2 linked regions of the Astyanax mexicanus genome follow. The protein of the gene in region 1 purifies or fractionates together with the protein of each later gene. This does not show direct contact. Links are inferred from orthologs where the notes say so. Each region holds a gene or a part of one and is shown on either strand. Other genes may lie near its edges.

Region 1 (9,520 bases):
ATTTTAGACAGGATACTCAAACGTTGACTTCCATAAACGTGTGGTATTACTGTTCTTAATAGAAAATGATATCATTACTTACTAACTAAACATTGTAAACACTAAAAGTTATATACAGCTCTAAAAAAAATTGAGTTTCTTTAATTTTTGATGGACAATCACAAGCCAAGTTGAACTGCTTAAATTTTAGTGTTTTTTGTGTGTAAGACTGGTGAAGGAGAACATGCCAAGATGCTAGGGGTGTCACGATCTCGATATTTTATCGAAATCGAATCGAAATGAGGTCACGATCTCGAGTATCGAAGTCAAAAAGAGGATCGACGATCCCTCCCGCGCGCGCTACGCAAATAGCGCGGCACCAACACAGCGCATCCTATTCATTTAAATAGAGATAGCCACTGCATGAGCGCAGTCGGCGGGAGTGTGATCACTGTTTTTATCTGTCCAACGGGGGAGGGGGGGCGGGGGTTGGGCGCGCAGGTTTTGTATCTGTATCTAACGGAGGGGTGGGTGCGCGCAGGTGAGAGCGTGTGAACTCGCTGAAATGCGTGTGTCAGTGTGACTTGAGAACACTGACTATAGATCACAGTGAGGTGGATTAAAAATCTTAAACTTATAATTGACTACACCTGTTGCTTTCCATTGAATTAAAAAAACATCTTTCTCTCAGATAAAGTAAACACAAGCGTGTTTCTGACTAAAATAAAAGCTTTTCAGGAGAGATATAAGTTATGTGTAAATATTTATAAGACAATACCCACATCACTTATCTAACCAGCCTGTACTGATTTCTGCCCCCCAATAATGCTTTCAATAACCTCTTGTAACCCCTGGGAGCCAGGGGTTACACTCTAATAGCCTTTAATAGTCTTCAGTAGCCTTTAAAAGACTTACCTGGCGGCCGTGGTGTGTCCACTAAACTCCGTAGTTATAAACATCCTGAGGTTAGCAGCGCGCTAACTGACCTGTTTATGATGTAATCCGAGCAGTGACTCCGTGTCGGCTGTTCTAACCTGCTGCTGTTAGCTGCTTGGGCTGAAAGATGAACTGTAGTGAGCTGTATTATCCGGTTAGTGGGGTTAAAACCTTTATTTGTTTACAGAAACAGTAAAAACGGACTGGCTGAGCTCTGTAGCCCGTGGCTGGGCTGTACTGAAGTAGTGACTGAGTGAAGAGAGCGGGGCTTGTGCTGCTGCTGCTAGTGGTTGGATGAAGAACTGCAGCTTCATGTAATGAGCAGTTTCACCAGCCATCCACACACAGCTCTGATAAACTGCTTGTTTTAATAGTGCACACTGTTGCTACCAAAAAAAGTCACTAGATGGCATTACCATATATATCTTAATAAATAATAATAATAATATTTATAATAATAATAATAATAATAATAATAATAATAATAAATATATTATTTAAATTTTATGAGGCATAAAATAATAACAAGAAAATAAAACAAGAAAATCGAGAATCGAATCGAATCGTGACCCTCAAATCGAAAATGAAATCGAATCGAGGATTTAGAGAATCGTGACACCCCTACAAGATGCGTAGAAACTGTGGATTAAAACCAGGGTTATTTAACCAAATATTGGTTTTTGAACTCTATGAACTTTATGAATATGAGCTTGATTTCTTTGCATCATTTGAGGTCTGAAAGCTCTGCATCTTTTTTGTTATTTTAGCCATTTCTCATCTTATGCAAATAAATGCTCTAAATAACAATATTTTTATTTGGAATTTGGGAGAAATGTTGTCTGTAGTTTATAGAATAAAAAAACAATGTTCATTTTACTCAAACATATACCTATAAATAGCTAAATGAGAGAAACATGTTTCAGAAACTGAAGTGGACTCTCTTTCAGAGCTGTAGATCTAGTGGAATTTCTGTATTTCTTCATAAATGTGACTTAAAACATCATAACATTTCCTAAAAGTAAATGAAGATAAAAAATATATTTAAAATATTATACTTGATTTAGTGCTGGACGATATGGCCAAAATTTATATCACGATATATTCCTTAAATTTCGGTCGATACGATATAATTTCGATATCGATAAATACTTTGAAGGCCTCAGAAAAAGAATCCCTGCAATCTCTGCAGCTTGCACTGCAAATTTAAATTATTATTTAACTGTGTATTTGCACTTTTTGTATCAATCTATCCAATGGAAATCTGTACCTACTACTGTATGAAAATGTTTTAAGTCTTTGAAACCTCGTTTCACAAAAACTTTAATACTTTAGAAATAAAAGTAGTCAAAATAAATCAATGCTCAATTTTATTTGCATATAGCAAAATAATAACATGACATCCCTGCCAAACATAAGCCTATATAACTATTACAAATAAAAATAACTTTAAATGACAACAGAGGCAGAGCTTCTTATTCATTGTAAACAAATTTAACAGATTAAAACAAAAGTGTTTTAACTAGGATATATAATACAAGAAGCCTTTATATACATAAAAGCAACAAAATTTTCCCGTCAAATAAACAAACCTATAGGATTTTTCAACTATAAATAACTTAGTGACAACATAATCTATTAAAGTGCTTCAGCCAGAATACAAGAGGTATTCAACATGATATCAACGGCAAATAAACAAACCTAAAGGATTCATAAACTTTAAATAACTTAGTTTCAACATAATCTATTAAAGTGCTTCAGTCAGAATACAAGAGGTATTCAACATGATATCCACGTCAAATAAACAAACCTAAAGGATTCATAAACTTTAAATAACTTAGTTTCAACATAATCTATTAAAGTGCTTCAGTCAGTATAAGGAAAATATTGTATGTAGTGAAGATGCTTGAGGTGGTAGAACAGATTAGATGTATTAACGTTACGCTGCTTGTCGGCTCCACTCACCGGCACAATTTGCAGCAAAGCGGCAAGCGAGCGGAGCCGCGGATGAGCGAGCGGAGGCGCGGATGAGCGAGCGGACCCGCGGCTGGGCGAGCGGAGCCGCGGCTGGGCGAGCGGAGCCGCGGATGAGCGAGCGGAGGCGCGGATGAGCGAGCGGAGGCGCGGATGAGCGAGCGGACCCGCGGCTGGGCGAGCGGAGCCGCGGATGAGCGAGCGGAGGCGCGGATGAGCGAGCGGACCCGCGGCTGGGCCAGCGGAGCCGCGGATGAGCGAGCGGACGCGCGAGCGGAGCCGCGGATGAGCGAGCGGACGCGCGAATGGGCGAGCGAAACAGCGGCTGACCGAACCGAGTCTACCCTAGCCTTGGATCCGCTCGTCCCGGCTCCGTTTCGAGACATTTTAGATGCGTAGCGGAGCGGACCTGAACCTAACCTAGCCTAGCCTAGCCATTTTAACCTAGCCTAGCCTAGCCTATCTGGCTACGTGCCTGTGTGATTGCGTCATCACGCACTGAGGTAGCACAGCTATGGGGGCTGAATGTGTTTGGCTCTGCGGCGAGCTGACGCCAGTAAAAAACGCCTGTCCGTGACAGATTCTGTACATAATACATATCGATATACCACAAAAGTGATATCACCGTTATTGAAACATTTCTTATCGCGATAAATACCGATATCGAATTATTGTCCAGGCCTAACTTGATTATTTATTCATTGAGGAAAATGATTCAATATTATGTATTTATAAGTGGCAAAAATATGTAAACCTCTAGGATTAGCAGTTGGTTTGAAGGTGAAATTTAGAATCAGCTGTTTTCAATCAATGGGATGACAATCAGGTGTGAGTGGGCAGAACCTGTTTTATTTAATGAACAGGGATCCATCAAAGTATGCTTAAACCATGAATGAAATAAGTAAATTCGAAAGAAAAATGGAAGGATATCTATCCATGAACTGACTCTCAAGAGAAGGTGCGTGGGTCATGCAGCAAGTAAATAACCCTAAGCACACAAATCGTTCCACCAAAGAATGGGTAAAGAAGAAAAAAATAATTAAAATGACAAACTTTTAAGCACCACTGTATATGAAGGTAAAAGAGTGATAACAATATTATCGATTTTACAGCATAACACAATCAATGCACTAGTGGCATATATAAAGAGCCTACATCCTATTTCTTTTGGTTTGATGTTTTCTTTGATGTTTTGAATCAGAAATATTTTTACACTGTCATTTTCCAACCTCATACTTTGATATAGCAATAGCATGTAGGCTAATTTTGTTACTTTGTCGTTAAGACTGGTATATGTAAATTAACTCTGACTGGATTTGCAACCCTGTGTTGTGCCCCATAAAAAAGTAGTCCTGGCTGAAAATGTATTTTAATGTCTTAAGTGAAGTTTAATGAACTGTTGACTTTATACTAAACATTGCAATATATGTATTTCCTGTAATATATTGCAATATTAAAGTATTATTAAAGTATTTATAATGATTAAAATTATGGTCGAAAGTGTTGGCAGCCTCAAAGTTTTTCTCCCAGAAAATCATTGCAATTACACGTAATGTTATATACATGTTTATTTCTATTGTGTGCATTGGAAAAACACAAAAACACACAGAAAAGGCAAAATTTGAGAAAATTTCACGCAAAACACCCAAAATTGGATGGACAGAATTATTGCACACTTTTTGGAGAGAAATATCTGTCCCTGTAACAATGGATAAGATGCACCTGAGCCTACAGGTCAGCTTGAAGTTCTTTAGAACTTCATGGGGCTCCTTATCCAACATTTGAACTATCTGGAGTTGCAACCTTTTATCAGTTTTTCTCATCCGTTTATGTCCAAGGAGATTAGCTACAGTGCCATAGATTGTAAAGTGTTGTGCACCATGGACAAAGAAACATCAAGATATCTGGAAATGGACTTGTAACCTTGAGATACATTGAGATGCATGATATTTGTCCACAATTTTGGTTCTCAGTCGTCAGACAGTTCTCTTATCCTCTTTCTGTTCTGCAAAGATTAAATTAATTTCTCTCCTTTTTCTGTGGTTTCAGGTGTTATTTTTGTATTGCCCACACCTGTTCCTTGCTACTGGTGATTTTAAACCAGTTAAAACCTGTTAAAAATGTGCTTACATACTACCCATCAAACTCTTATATTTAAAAAATATATATATATTATTTACAATATGGCCTTCACAAAATAATAATTTACTATTTTCTTTAATAATTTGATTTTGTTTTTATGTGCTTTACCATGTTTAGAATAATGTTACACATACCATATGTTGTTGAGTAAGATTGGTATGCATATGTTGAATACTGCATCAATAGTGGACAGTTCGTATGTTGCTGATTGCTCAGATTGAAATAATTAAGAAAACTTTTATTTAAGGTCTGGGTTGTTTTTTAGGTTTACGTTCTTTCAAAGTAAACAATCAATTGTCAAACTTCCCTGGTCCTCTTTTTTTATTCTTAAATGCAATTTTTCTTAATTTTAAATAAATCAGAAATACAATTACAGACCCTATATTTTGGCTTTAAATAAACGTTCTTACCTCTATCTGAAATAATCCTAGGATCAACAGAACAAGAACAAGAACAAGCTACCTTGAGATGATTATACTTGTCCATCTTTATTGTGTCTGCAGGAAACATTGTGTGTGTGTGTGTGTGTGTGTGTGTGTGTGTGTGTGTGTGTGTGTGTGTGTGTGTGTGTGTGTGTGTGTGTGTGGGTGTGGGTGTGTGTGTGTGTGTGTGTGTGGGTGGGTGTGTGTGTGTGTGTGTGGGTGGGTGTGCGTGGGTGGGTGTGTGTGGAGATGGAGGAGAGGGCTCGCAGCTGTTTGCTGCGCTCCAAAGACACTCTGGAGCAAGATATAAAGGCCTCCTACCTCATGGACCACATGATCAGTGACGGGGTCTTGACAACAGATGAAGAGGACAGGGTACTCAGCAAGGTATAGCAAATAGACCCAGATACAGGTTAACAACCAGCCACTGGTCAAAAGTTATATGGCACATACTTAAACTTGTTTTTTATTACATTTAAACTGTGCTTTATAATATCAATATTTGTACAGTGTGCAGTTGGTAACACCATTTCTCCCATATCCCAGACTTAGGTTAAATTCCCTGTCTGAGGAAGAGCACCACAGTATAACAATACATTTTCCTAATGTCTGTAATGTGATTAAACTTTTTGCCACTGGGTAAGTTTCAAAATAATACCCCAAATTAAGCATGAATAAAAAAAATAATAGTATTAGATTTAGTATTAATAAGGTCATATATATATATATATATATATATATATATATATATATATATATATATATATATATATATATATATATATATATATATAAAATATGTATGTATGTATGTATATATATATATATATATATATATATATATATATATATATATATATATATATATATATATATATATATATATATATATATATATATACATATACACTGATTCTCTTAAGTAATCATGCATCAAACCAATTAGTGTGTCACTTCCCAATCACTTTAACAGCCAGGTGCACTCTTGTGTTCTCATTTATGAGAACAGCAATGTTATTTTATTTTGTTTTCTATTTTAATGTAAAGTTGGGTTTGTGCACTGCCTCTGGTCCATGTGTGTGTAACAAGTGGGCGTGTATGTACATTGAGCACATGAGGCATGCCTGCATTGCCAAGAGACCAGTAAACTGACTGATGACTGTTGTCAGGGTTTTAATCAGCCACTGGCGCACCTTTTTTCCATTGCCAAGATCGCAATACACCTCACTTCCAGACCACCATACCCCTTGGCTTAGATACTGTATGTCTGTGAACATCTTTGCTATTTAAACGATGCAGACTCAAAGTGTGAAAATAGACTATAGATGGGATGTAAGATAACAGTGAATATTGCGATGAGCCTTGTGAAGGGTGTAAGATATGGTTAATATGAAGTAAAAAAAGAAGGTTTAAAAGCTGTTACAGAGATGATGTAGCATGTGAGGTTCCTCTTTATGACATTGTTGCTTCACTTTTGCTCTCTTTTATTTTATAGCCCACCAGAAGAGAGCAGGCAGCAGCATTGCTGGAGGTCCTCCTGCGGAAAGACAACAGAGCCTACATCTCCTTCTACAATGCCCTGGTTAGAGAGAGCTATGGAGACCTGGCCAACCTGCTGCATAATGACCTGCCACAACTCAGCCCTGAGGGTGAAAAGAGCTTTTCCAATGGGGTCTCTTCCTTAGGTAAACATTAAACTGCCTCCTTCTTACTAAAATGATTTCACTAATGATTTTACTAATAGTCTGTAGTACGTTGTGGTGAAATTGTCGAAGGGAGAGGAAAAAGTTCTAAATTCAGTGTGCCTCGTCCACATTGACCATGAACCAACTGGGACAGCCACCAACCCATAGGACACAGAATTACATGTCATTAAGTAACCCCAGAAACTCACAGTTAACTCTTTTACACAAGGAACATGCTCTTCCACAAGCCTCAGTGGCTAAATAAGACTAATCTAACTCTAGTTAATGAGAGTAACACACCAACCGTTCTGTAAAAAAAGTATTTTTTTGTTTTTGCCTTTTTTAGGATTAGGTTATATCTGATCTCTCTCTGCTCTAATTATTTCAGTTCAGCTTATTCTGAGTGAAGGCGGAGTTCCCCAAAGGCCTATGGTTTTTGTGAACCGGCCTGCTCTGCTTAACCAGGTCCGGGAGAAGCTGTACCAACTGCAGAAAGTGGTGGGCTGGGTCACAGTGTTTGGAATGGCTGGCTCAGGGAAGTCTGTGCTGGCTGCAGAGGCAGTGAGAGACCATTCATTAATCAAAGGTACTGTTTTTTTTTCTACATAAATATTTTAGTTTTTCAATGGTTAGTTTTTGACTAATGTAGAGTAACTTGCAAATGGCATATTTCTTAAAAAGAATTTTAGCAAGGTTATTATTATTTTTTCCCATTTCAGTTCATTACAGTATGCTAAATACCCTTACATGCCAGTAGTCATAGTTCAGCAGTATGTAATTTGATCATGAAATGTTCTCTTGGTTATATTGTGAGTGAGGTTCTGAATTTCTGCCAGAATTCAGTGAGAAAATGGACTGGTAGTGGATTTGGGTTGTAGTGAAACATGGTAACGTGTACAGACTTTTGTGGAATTCTCTAATCCCCCCAAAGGTACTCTGTGTATAAGCAGTCACAAGGTACTGTGTGTATAAACAGTGTTTTTTATTAAACTGGAGTTTTCAGTGTCTCATTTTAAATGTCAGGGCCCTTGCCGTTTCGAATCCTGTTTATATAGCTTGCCATTGGCTACCAGAGCCCCAAGAGCACATAATTGGCCTTGTTCTCTCTGGGTGGGTAGATGGCGCTCTCTCCAAAGGCTGATGTCTGCAGCACAAGGCATCTGTGAGCTGATGTATCGGAACGAGTCGCTGCGCTTTTCTCCGTGCGAGCTGTGATGCTACTCAGCAATTCTGCATCATCAGCAGTTCAAAAAGAGACGGTGGATGACTTCACATGTATCGGAGGAGGCATGTGCTAGTCTTCACCCCCCTGATGTTGGGGCATTGCTAGTGATGGGGAGTCCTGATGAGTGGGTTGGGTAATTGACCGTGTAAATTGGTCATTAGGCATAACAAAATTTAGCTTCTATGAAGATCATATTTGTGCTTTATACATATTATATTTATGTGTGATCATAAGTTTTGCTGCACAGTAGATTAGTACACCATCATGGTCTTTGTTGGTCAAACAAGGGTTTGCTTTGCTCTTTTTAGCACTTGTGAAAGCACTTCTCTATGAAACTTGGTCTTGCAGACCTCAGCTTGACCTACGCTTTTTACTTTCATTTCAGAATTTGAGTTTGACTTAAGTAACAGTCACAGTTTCAGAAAATTTACCCATGGTGTCCAAACCTTTTCATGTTCCATAGATTCATAGATTATTTATATGCTTGGCAGTAACTTATTAATCACAAGCTCTCTCTCTCTCTCTCTCTCTCTCTCTCTCTCTTTCTCTCGTCTTCATATCTAAAGAGTGTTTTCCTGACGGTGTTCACTGGCTGTCTGTTGGACAGTGTGAGAGAGCAGAGCTGCTGGTGAGGATGCAGTCTCTGTGTTTTAGGTTGGAACAGAATCAAACTGTGGATTCACCTCCAAGACCCCCTAATTCTATTGAGGAAGCCAAAGAGCGACTGCGCTTCCTTATGCTCCGCAAGTTTCCCAGGTAACCTGACTCAGGTCTTTGCAAGAGCCAAAACATTAAGACCTACAAGTAATCTGACTAAATAAATTAGCCATCGTCAGTTTTGCTATGGTATTAAACAACTGACAATGAAAATGGTGATGGGTTAGCTATTAATTAACATTATTTTCTTCATAAATTGTTAAATAGGATGATGGAACACTTGAAAAGTATATATTTATAAAATAATATCTATTTAGTAATTTAGTAATTAGTTCTCAAATCCTATAAATACACCATATATTTATCAATAACTGCCTTAAAATATTTTTTTCATATGTAGGCAATAGTGTTGTCACGATACCAAAATTATGACTGTAAATACAATACCTGCCTAAATATCTCAATACCGATACTAAAACGATACCTCTGCAAAAAATAGAACA
Region 2 (8,990 bases), on another chromosome or scaffold:
CCCACTTTGATTCAAAAATCTGGAGCAATTTTAAAACCTCAATTAAGCCACATCTATAGAGTTCCACAAATAAGAGGCTCAAAATACAGTTTGTGAATATAGAATATAGTCTTTACTCAGTGTACATAAGGATCATGTTCTTTAGGGATCAGGGTTCATACACAATTTAACCAATACATTTTCATGACTTTTCTATGCCTTCAAGACAAATTATCATGACCATATGAATTTTAAAACATCTGTGCAAACATGGAAAATAAAACCAAAAATCTATTTTAATAATAAAATGTGGGTCAGATCCTGAGAGCTCCAAAACGTCCTGGGTGTTTTTATTTTTCCAAAACCCTATCCAGTCCTGGTAATTGCTATTTTTAAATTCCATGACTTTTCCAGGTTTTTCATGACCGTACAAACCCTGAGGATTACTTTTAAGCTGAATTTAAATTAGTTTCACTTTTCTGCATAAAACATAATGCTAGACCAACAGTAGAATAAGTCTAAAAAGCTTGTAAATTGCACTGTGCTTGGCAAATTATTTCAAATGTTGTACTTTTAAGCGCAATATAACTTAAACAGGACAATCAGCATAAAAACTAACAAGAAGAAACAAAAAAACGGTTCAAAGAGTAAGGTGTCATTCACATGCTTATTAAACTTATGGTAAGTTTAACCTGGATAATGAATTTAACTTGTGTGCATAAGATTTTGCTCTCTGATTTAGACCCAATAAAATACAATTGTTAAAAACATATAGCACACAGATGAGGGACCAGAAGAAATTAGTTTAATATGGAGAAACTGTTGACTCCCTGTGAAGCATCCAGTATCAAAGACAACTGCTCTGTGACTTCCTGCAAGGTCTTGATTATCAAAGGAAATATTTCCTGAGAAATCTCTGGTGGGTGTCCCTGTAAGAACCCGCCAAAAGTATTTCCTATTGTATTGTCATGGAGCACGGTTTGGTTCTAGATCAAATACAACCAGTCAAGTTAATAAGATCACCCCACCCCAGTTGTCCTCCAGTTTGGAACAGCAGTCACCAGAGCTTGTCTAAGAGTTGATTGTAGAGTCTCAACCAGCTGTCCAAAATTGGGGCCAGTGGTTGTATTATCAGCATTGTATTGGCTGATACCAGAGTAATGCAGAAAAACCCTTTCAAACGTCTTACAGAAGTCTGCAGACTCTCCATTTCTTTGTCTGTATTTTGTGATTTGCTTCCAGTCATTTGAATAACAGCATTTACAGCTAATCCAGGAACTGGAAGCTTCCCATGCTCTTTCAAGGTTTTGGTTGTTGTCACCCAAAGCATTCAACACCTTTTTAGAAAGCTCTTTACCTTGTGAATAATTACTGACTTGGCTTGCTATGGCAAATGTATCATTTGGATGTAGTGGGTACAGATTCTTTTTCTTATGCATGAGATCAGTGAAGTCCAGCTTCATGTCTCTTGGAGGTTTAATCTCCTTGGATAACTTATCCAGAGTAGATGTATGAAAAGGATGAAACCAATTTCTATTCTGGTTTCACTACCTGCATTTCTCCTATTAAGTACCTCAGATGGTACAATGTTACAGGTCTCATTTGAACCTGACTTTAAAATTGTGTCAAAAGACAAAGATTCTGATCCATCAGAGAAGTCAACTCTGATTACTCATGCAGATTGCATCTTGATTGAGGATTCTCACTCTCTGTGTGGCATGGCTGGCCTGGTAGAGGGCCAAAAGGTAGAGAACATTGAAGCATAGACTTAGTTTTAGACATATGTTGCTGTTCAACTTCTGTCAGTGCTTATTGCAGTTTTTATATGTAATTTCGATATTTCTGGTAGCTCTTTTATGTCTTTTGTACTCACTCGTTAGTTCTAATCTGATCAGCTTTCTAAATTACTCTTCAGCTTCTTTTAACTTATCATCCATAGATTTCAACTTTCCTTCCCAGTACTGCTAAATAATAAAAATACATGCTTGATGCCATGACTTAAAGCTGTTTTACACTCAACAAGTATCTATCTCTATCAGCAGAGAAATCTGTGGATGACAAATACTGAGTTATCTTTTGCTGACTAATATGTTTCTTCACTATGTCACTGATTACCAATCCGTTCAAAGTCAGAATTAAACAACTGAGGCATTTCAGTCCCTCCCTTAACTAAGGTGCTGCTTTTATAGTTAAGAGGTTTCCGTCTTTAGCAAGACCAAGAAACGTCTCTTCAGAGAAGACATTAACTTTAATGTCTTCTCTGAACAGACATTAACATTAACTTATCAGTACCTTTCAGTATCTTTTAGTTGTAACAAAAACAAACCATCTGTCTTTCTCTTAAGGAGAATCTCTACAACTTCTATGCTTGGCCAAGATTTCCTATACTGATTTCCCATTATGTGGTTTGTGATAGGGCTACATTTTTAAGGCTGTTTTGTATTTTACATAAAGCTATTGTATGATGATCACAATATGGCAGAGTAAAAAATCACACTATGATCATAAAAAAGTTGCACAATTTAAAATGTCATAATCAGGCAGTAGTGGCCTGAGCAGGGTGCACACCCAAGCTCCTCCACTTGTATGTTACCCTTTTTTAATAAACAGTTTTCTTAAATAATAGGCCTACATTCTTGCATGCTGCACTGTTCATTATCATCATTCGAAACAGATTTTACTAATTTAAAGGATAACTCCAGTGTAAAATGGTGACTTTTGGTGTAGTAAAACATGATAAAAAGTACTTACCTTTAATGAATAGCACACCTCCGTTCTCCCACAGAGGCAAATTATGCCCCGTGTCACCCAGTCTGAAGGGTGTTTGGACAAACTGTTAAAATTTCTAGATCTTGGAACCCTGTCGGAAAACGGAGGTGTGCTATTCATCATAGTTAACAGTTTAAATATATAAAATAATGACAAATAAAATAGAATTACTTGGCTTGGGTAGGGTCAGTCTGTTTTTTTTTTTTTTTTTTGACCCGATGTAAGCTCTATTAGGCAGTGACTGAATTAACAGAGGTCATTCTAGATTGATGATTTAGCATGTTTTGGGTAATAAACTGAAAATTCCAGCAACCTGTAAAGCTGTTTTAACTAGCACTGCTTAACATAATGCTAAAACAAGGTCATTGCACTCCAGGTGTAATCATGAAAGATTACAAAACGAATCTATGTTCATACCAGGTGGAGAGATGACTTACTTCACTTTACTAGACCTGTTAACACACTGTGATCTGGATAAAAAAGAGTCTTGAGGTTGGATCTGCTATGAATGCGGTATTCTCTTAATCTCTTTCTCTGTTCTCCATTCTCTTCTTTTCACACTCTGAACACCATGTGACTTCGAGTCTGAACTGGTTGTGCCCCCTCGTCCTTTCCATAGAAGGATCTGGTGTACGTGAGCTGAATCTACAACGCGATTACATTCGCGGAATGACGATACCAGCCTCGCGGGTGAATCGGTTCTTTTCAAGGACTCTGTTGAACCGATTCACAAAGATGCTTATTAAGTATTCAGTATTTCTCAGTACTGTATAAATGCAATATGCAACATCAAAATATAACATTTTTAAATGTATTATTATTCATCTTTGTTAATAATTGCGGTAAACTATATAATTGCCATTTCAAGACCATTTCATGACACTACTAAAATTATTTTAAAAAAGACATAATAATACATTAACACATTAGTGTTAAAGAAGACAGACATTTTAACTGCTAGGAATATTTACACACTAGATTTAGAATACAACATTGTTTAAATAGATAGCAAAATAAATGACAAATAAAATAAATAATAATAAATAAAATAATAAAAGTTTGACATATCAGCTGATTCTCATATTGAGCTTTTCTTATTAAGTAAACATAATGAACAATATTAAGATTAGCATAATTTATTGAAGTTATGTTATTGTATGATAAATCAATAACAGAATTATTGTAACAGGCCTATAATTTACATTAGATATTGGAACCAGGATTCCTTTCTCTTGGCAGTGTTTTGACATTTAGGATGTGTCTAAAACTAGGTATTTCCATACTTTATAGTATTTTAAATAAGTCAATCAATGGAAGCAAATTTATTAGTAGGCCCGTAAGTAGTGTACGATAATATAGTGCAGTATTGTAAAGTAAAGTACAGTATATTGTAGCATATTGTAGAGTTTAATAAAAGTTTGCATAGTACAATAAAAAATGGTATATTACAGTACAGTATAGTATAAAATGGTATAGTATAATATAATATTGTATGGTATAGTGTGATAACATATAGTTCAGAATGATACTGTAAATTAAAGTTTGAGCTGGTATATTATAAAATAATGTATAGTATAGTATGGTATAATATTGTACACTTTGTACACTAGAGTAGTATAAGAAAAGAATATTGTAGAGTTTAATAAAAGTTTGTTTAGTACTATTTAAAATGGTACAATACAGTGGAGTATGATAACATAGTACAGTATGGTGCAGTAAAGTACCTGATAAAATTGTATAGTATAAAATAATGTATAGTATAGTATGGAAATGTGTACTATAGTATAGTATAGAAAGTATTTAAACAGTTTAATAAAAGTTTTATAGTACAGTTAAAAAAAGTATAGTATAATATGGTATGATATGATATAGTATGTAGTACAGTGTGGTACAATAAAATACCTCATAAAATAGTATAGTATGGAAATGTTTAGCATAGCATAGAAATGTATATTGTACAGTTTAATACATTTTGTATAGTACAGTATGAAATTCTATAGTACAGTATAGTATTATATAGTATAGTATAATATAAAAGTGTGTGATATCGTATGATAACATATAGAACAGTGTTGTACAGTGAAGTACATTATAATATAGTATAGTATAAAATAAAGTATAGTATAGTATAGTATCGTATAGTATAGTATAGTTGCAGCATGTGACTGAATCAATGCGTCGCTGAATTGAACACTTTGTGAAGGACAGTTAGAAAGAATCGGTTCGTGAAACTGATTCGAACTGGGCTTCACTAGAGAGGTACGTGACGAGGCGGCGCCGCCGCGGTGCTACGTCATCTGAGCGAGCCTCTAAAATGTAGTGACCTTCTTTCGGTCGAGCGGCAGAATCCGACTCTTCGGGTCCAGAGAGGGAGAGAGAAACACCATCCGCAGGGTGAGTGGCTTTCCTTCCTTCCTTACAGAGAGAGATTATAGCGGGTATTTCATAAAGAGAGTTTACTCATAAATCTGTTCTTTATATTAAAGCTGTAGATTTAGCGGAGTTTTTCAGGACAGAGAGAGAAATTAGTGAATTAGCGGAGGAGCTGTTAGATAAGGGCCTTTGAAGACTTAAGTAACCGGCACCCGGTTTTTTCCTGAGCCGAGTAAACTATTTAATCTAGTAGTTCGTAGGGCGAAATGTATCAGTGTATATGTGTGTTCTTAATCATAAATTTTATCTGTTGTTCTGCTATGAGCTTATATATGGTTGTGAGATTTTCGCAGTGTCGAGAGATTTTCCCAGCCGAATGAGAGCTGTAGCACATCTGCTCTTAATGCTAGGTTAGCTTAGCCGCCCGGCTAACGCGCTAACCGTGATGGATGATTCACACTCGTCAGGTTTAACGTTAGTCTTTCATCCGGCTTAAAAAATGTGTAGATCTCTTGGCTTAAAAACACTAATTTTGTAGCAAAGTAATATCGCTAGCTAGTTAACTAACTAACTGTAACCTACAAACTACAGCGTTTTCATGATATTATGTGGACTGATATCAAGTAACTTACCCCGGTTTTCTGATTCATTATTAATGTCTCGGATGGAGATGCTCACTCCGACCTTGCTACAGCTAACTTAGCTTAGCTAGCAGGCTAGCTAGGTCACTAGCCTTTTTATATGGTCATGTTAGCCGCGCTAGTTAGCTTAGCTTATCTTGGTTAATGTTAACTTTGGACGCAGACAGTTTATATTTAATTAAAACTGTTTTTCTTTTCTGGCCTGTTTGCTGTTGTAGTTACCATAACTATGTTTCTAGCAGAAGCTCGTGTCCTCAGGTTTAACAGAGCGGGGACATTTCTGTTGTAATCTAATGTTAGCTACGTTAGCTCCTGTTCTCTGCCAGCATGCCGGTTCTCACGCGCTGCCGGCTCTTAAAGCTCTCTGATTGATTAGATTTTGGTTTCACTTTCTAAGAGATTAGCGAGCAGCCAGTTAGCAGCAGCTGTGTTTAAGCAAAAGAGACTCGGGTTTGCTTGCATTCTCCTTGAGTGACCTTAGTGTGTCCTGATCCTATAGCATCACTTTCTGTGCGCTGCGGCTATGACTCAGAACCTTTTTTATACCAGCTGTAAAGTGTATAGAGTTTTATGATGGTGTTTTTATATATTTGTGTTTTTTTTTTTTTTTCTTTTTTTTAGAAAACATGGGTGACGTCGAAAAGGGAAAGAAGGTCTTCGTCCAGAAGTGCGCACAGTGCCATACAGTCGAGAACGGTGGCAAGCACAAGGTTGGCCCCAACCTTTGGGGTCTTTTCGGACGCAAGACTGGACAGGCAGAGGGCTTCTCCTACACAGATGCCAACAAGAGCAAAGGTGAGTTCACCAGGAGGGTATTTAACCAAGGACAATGTCTCCTTGGTGGGCTTAATGGTTTTGAAGCTAGTTTGCTGTGTTTTTCCTTTACAGGACTGGCCTTTAATGTGTCTCAGACCATTTTGTACACTATTCATTGGTTTTGCTACTTTTCTTAATCTTTCAAATGGTTTTGTTTTAGGGATCACTTGGAATGAGGATACCTTAATGGAGTACCTAGAGAACCCCAAGAAATACATTCCTGGCACGAAAATGATCTTCGCCGGCATCAAGAAGAAGGGCGAGCGTGCAGACCTCATTGCATACCTGAAGGCATCCACATCGTAATGGTTGAGGATGAGGATGGAGATATTTAAATTAAATGTCTGTAGTTTTGCATTTTCTGTCTTTTAAACAGCATCTACTCAAACAGTTACACGCCACTGAACGACCAGGACTATTCATTGTGGTTTTAAGTCACGGCATGCTACTGATGCCCGTCCATGAGGATTCTAATCTTTTTTTTTGACTACCGCTGAGCTGTCGGCACTGTTTGACTGAGTGTTATTCCTGTGACTTTCAGGTCATTTTACCTGGGGGGGGTAAAATTGTATCCCCCTGATTTCACAGGAGTGGGTGCATGTTAAATTATTTTGCTGTACTCTTGGGTCGAAGTGTTGTGGGTTACATTGCAAGCTAAGGGTGTCTGTCTGCTTATTGGTAGCCATGTTAAGTTATGTACCAGATGAAACTACTGTCAATAAAAGTGGAAAAGATAAATTGTCTCTTGCCACTGTCTATGAAAGGCTTCCAAAAGGCCTAGTATATTGGTCTCCTATTGCAGGTCATGTGTAATGAGAGTTTAAACACTTATTTAAACTGGTTAAAAGGATATCTTTGAAAGAATGTGGAGAATCTGGCTTTAACTTTTGTTTGCATTTTAAAATCTGTTCTTGGTTGTGTAATTCTTTTTTTTTTTTATTGTTTAATTCAATGGGTGTGAGGAAGTGTACTGTGCTGATTTACTGGTCTTAGTCATCAAGTTAGTAAGCTTTCATTTTAAAAAGCTATTATGAAATATGGTCATGTTACATCAGATGGAACATGTATTTAAGAGGTGAAATACAATTTTTCAGCAATCAGAAGTGAAACGTAACTATCCAATATTTTATTATTTGTTATGATTCTGTGTATTAGTAGCTCTATCTAAATTCTGTTTCATGCTGCCTAATTTATTGTGTTAAATTGAAGCAGCTTGAGAATTAACTAAAGTCTCCTCACGTGGGCGCAGTCAACTGAGGCTAGAAGCACTTCCAGAGGTCAGCAACCTCACTGTCCTCGTGGAGTTAAAAAGATAATCTTTGTTAATCTACAGAATTTAAATTGCCCACTGCTGTCTTAATGGTAGGCCTGAGAGTTCTACAGTATCTGGAAGGTCAGGTTAAGTTGGCTACCTGGAGTCTGAACAGGTAGTAAGAGTTAAAACTAGCTTTCTAAATTAAACGTTGAATACATTTAAATGAAGCTTTTATCAGCAGGACTGATTAAGTGGCGACACCGAAAGACATTGAAGACTGTAAATTACATCACAGTAACAGTACAAAGTCCTCTCTGCTGGTCAGAAGGAGTGCCTTCCCAGCGAAGCAGCTGTAGGGTAATACCGCCACCCAGCGGAGAACAGGGCGTTACGCAACTCTGTTCCATAACAAATTTTTATTACCGGGGAAAGTCTTACACAATGTGTAGGTCATCAGCTACGTAATGTTCACTTTCAATAGAACATACTACTCAGATGGTAAAGAACATTGAATCAATGTTTGTGGTGTAAAAACAGTATATGTTTAACACTGCCTAAAAGTGTTGAAATTGAGAGAAAGTTTTTGAAGGTTTAAGGCTCTTCTACATTTACAATGTTTAGGTCAAAGTGCCCCCCAAATATAGTGTTTATTATTATTATATAATGTTTATTTTTGGGAAGCCCCTTTTACCTAAAAGCATTGTTTTTCTCATTAATAATGAGAATTATTGTTATGATTACTATTATTGTTTTTTATTATGCATACCATAATTAACATAAAATATATTTAAAGAGTTTTTACAAGGTTGCCCTGATAGCAAAGAATGTTGAATACATGTTATGTTTTGGTTGAATTACATCTTTTAATGTTTTTTTATGTAAAAGGAACCTTTAAACAGCCTTTATTTAACATTGACTCGTAAGCATTTTGACAGCAGTGCTAAAACACAGTTTCTTCAACAGTTCTGTGTTGAAGAAATGAGACAATTTTTCATGTGTGAAAATTATCAAAGGTTTATAAACTCTCATCTTATATACAGCTCTGGAAAAAAATAAGAGACTACTTAAAAATGATCAGTTTCTCTGATTTTACTATTAATAGGTATACATTTGAGTGACAACATTTCTCCCAAGTTACAAATACAAATATTGTCATT

Evidence for each region.
Region 2: the proteins of apaf1 (region 1) and cytochrome c purify together in Homo sapiens (affinity purification with western blotting; 3 studies listed by BioGRID and IntAct, with this or other methods). This does not show direct contact. The link is inferred for Astyanax mexicanus from reciprocal best matches to the Homo sapiens genes APAF1 and CYCS.

What each region holds. Positions count from the first base shown.
Region 1 is NC_064409.1:37,144,573-37,154,092, reverse strand, and holds the start of apaf1 (apoptotic protease-activating factor 1), read left to right. Parts: upstream 1-5,537; 5' UTR 5,538-5,699; coding exon 5,700-5,837; intron 5,838-6,945; coding exon 6,946-7,135; intron 7,136-7,523; coding exon 7,524-7,721; intron 7,722-8,926; coding exon 8,927-9,116; intron 9,117-9,520. UniProt on the Homo sapiens protein: Oligomeric Apaf-1 mediates the cytochrome c-dependent autocatalytic activation of pro-caspase-9 (Apaf-3), leading to the activation of caspase-3 and apoptosis. This activation requires ATP. Isoform 6 is less effective in inducing apoptosis.
Region 2 is NC_064412.1:39,206,680-39,215,669, reverse strand, and holds cytochrome c, read left to right. Parts: upstream 1-5,033; 5' UTR 5,034-5,142; intron 5,143-6,383; 5' UTR 6,384-6,388; coding exon 6,389-6,557; intron 6,558-6,738; coding exon 6,739-6,884; 3' UTR 6,885-7,316; downstream 7,317-8,990. UniProt on the Homo sapiens protein: Electron carrier protein. The oxidized form of the cytochrome c heme group can accept an electron from the heme group of the cytochrome c1 subunit of cytochrome reductase.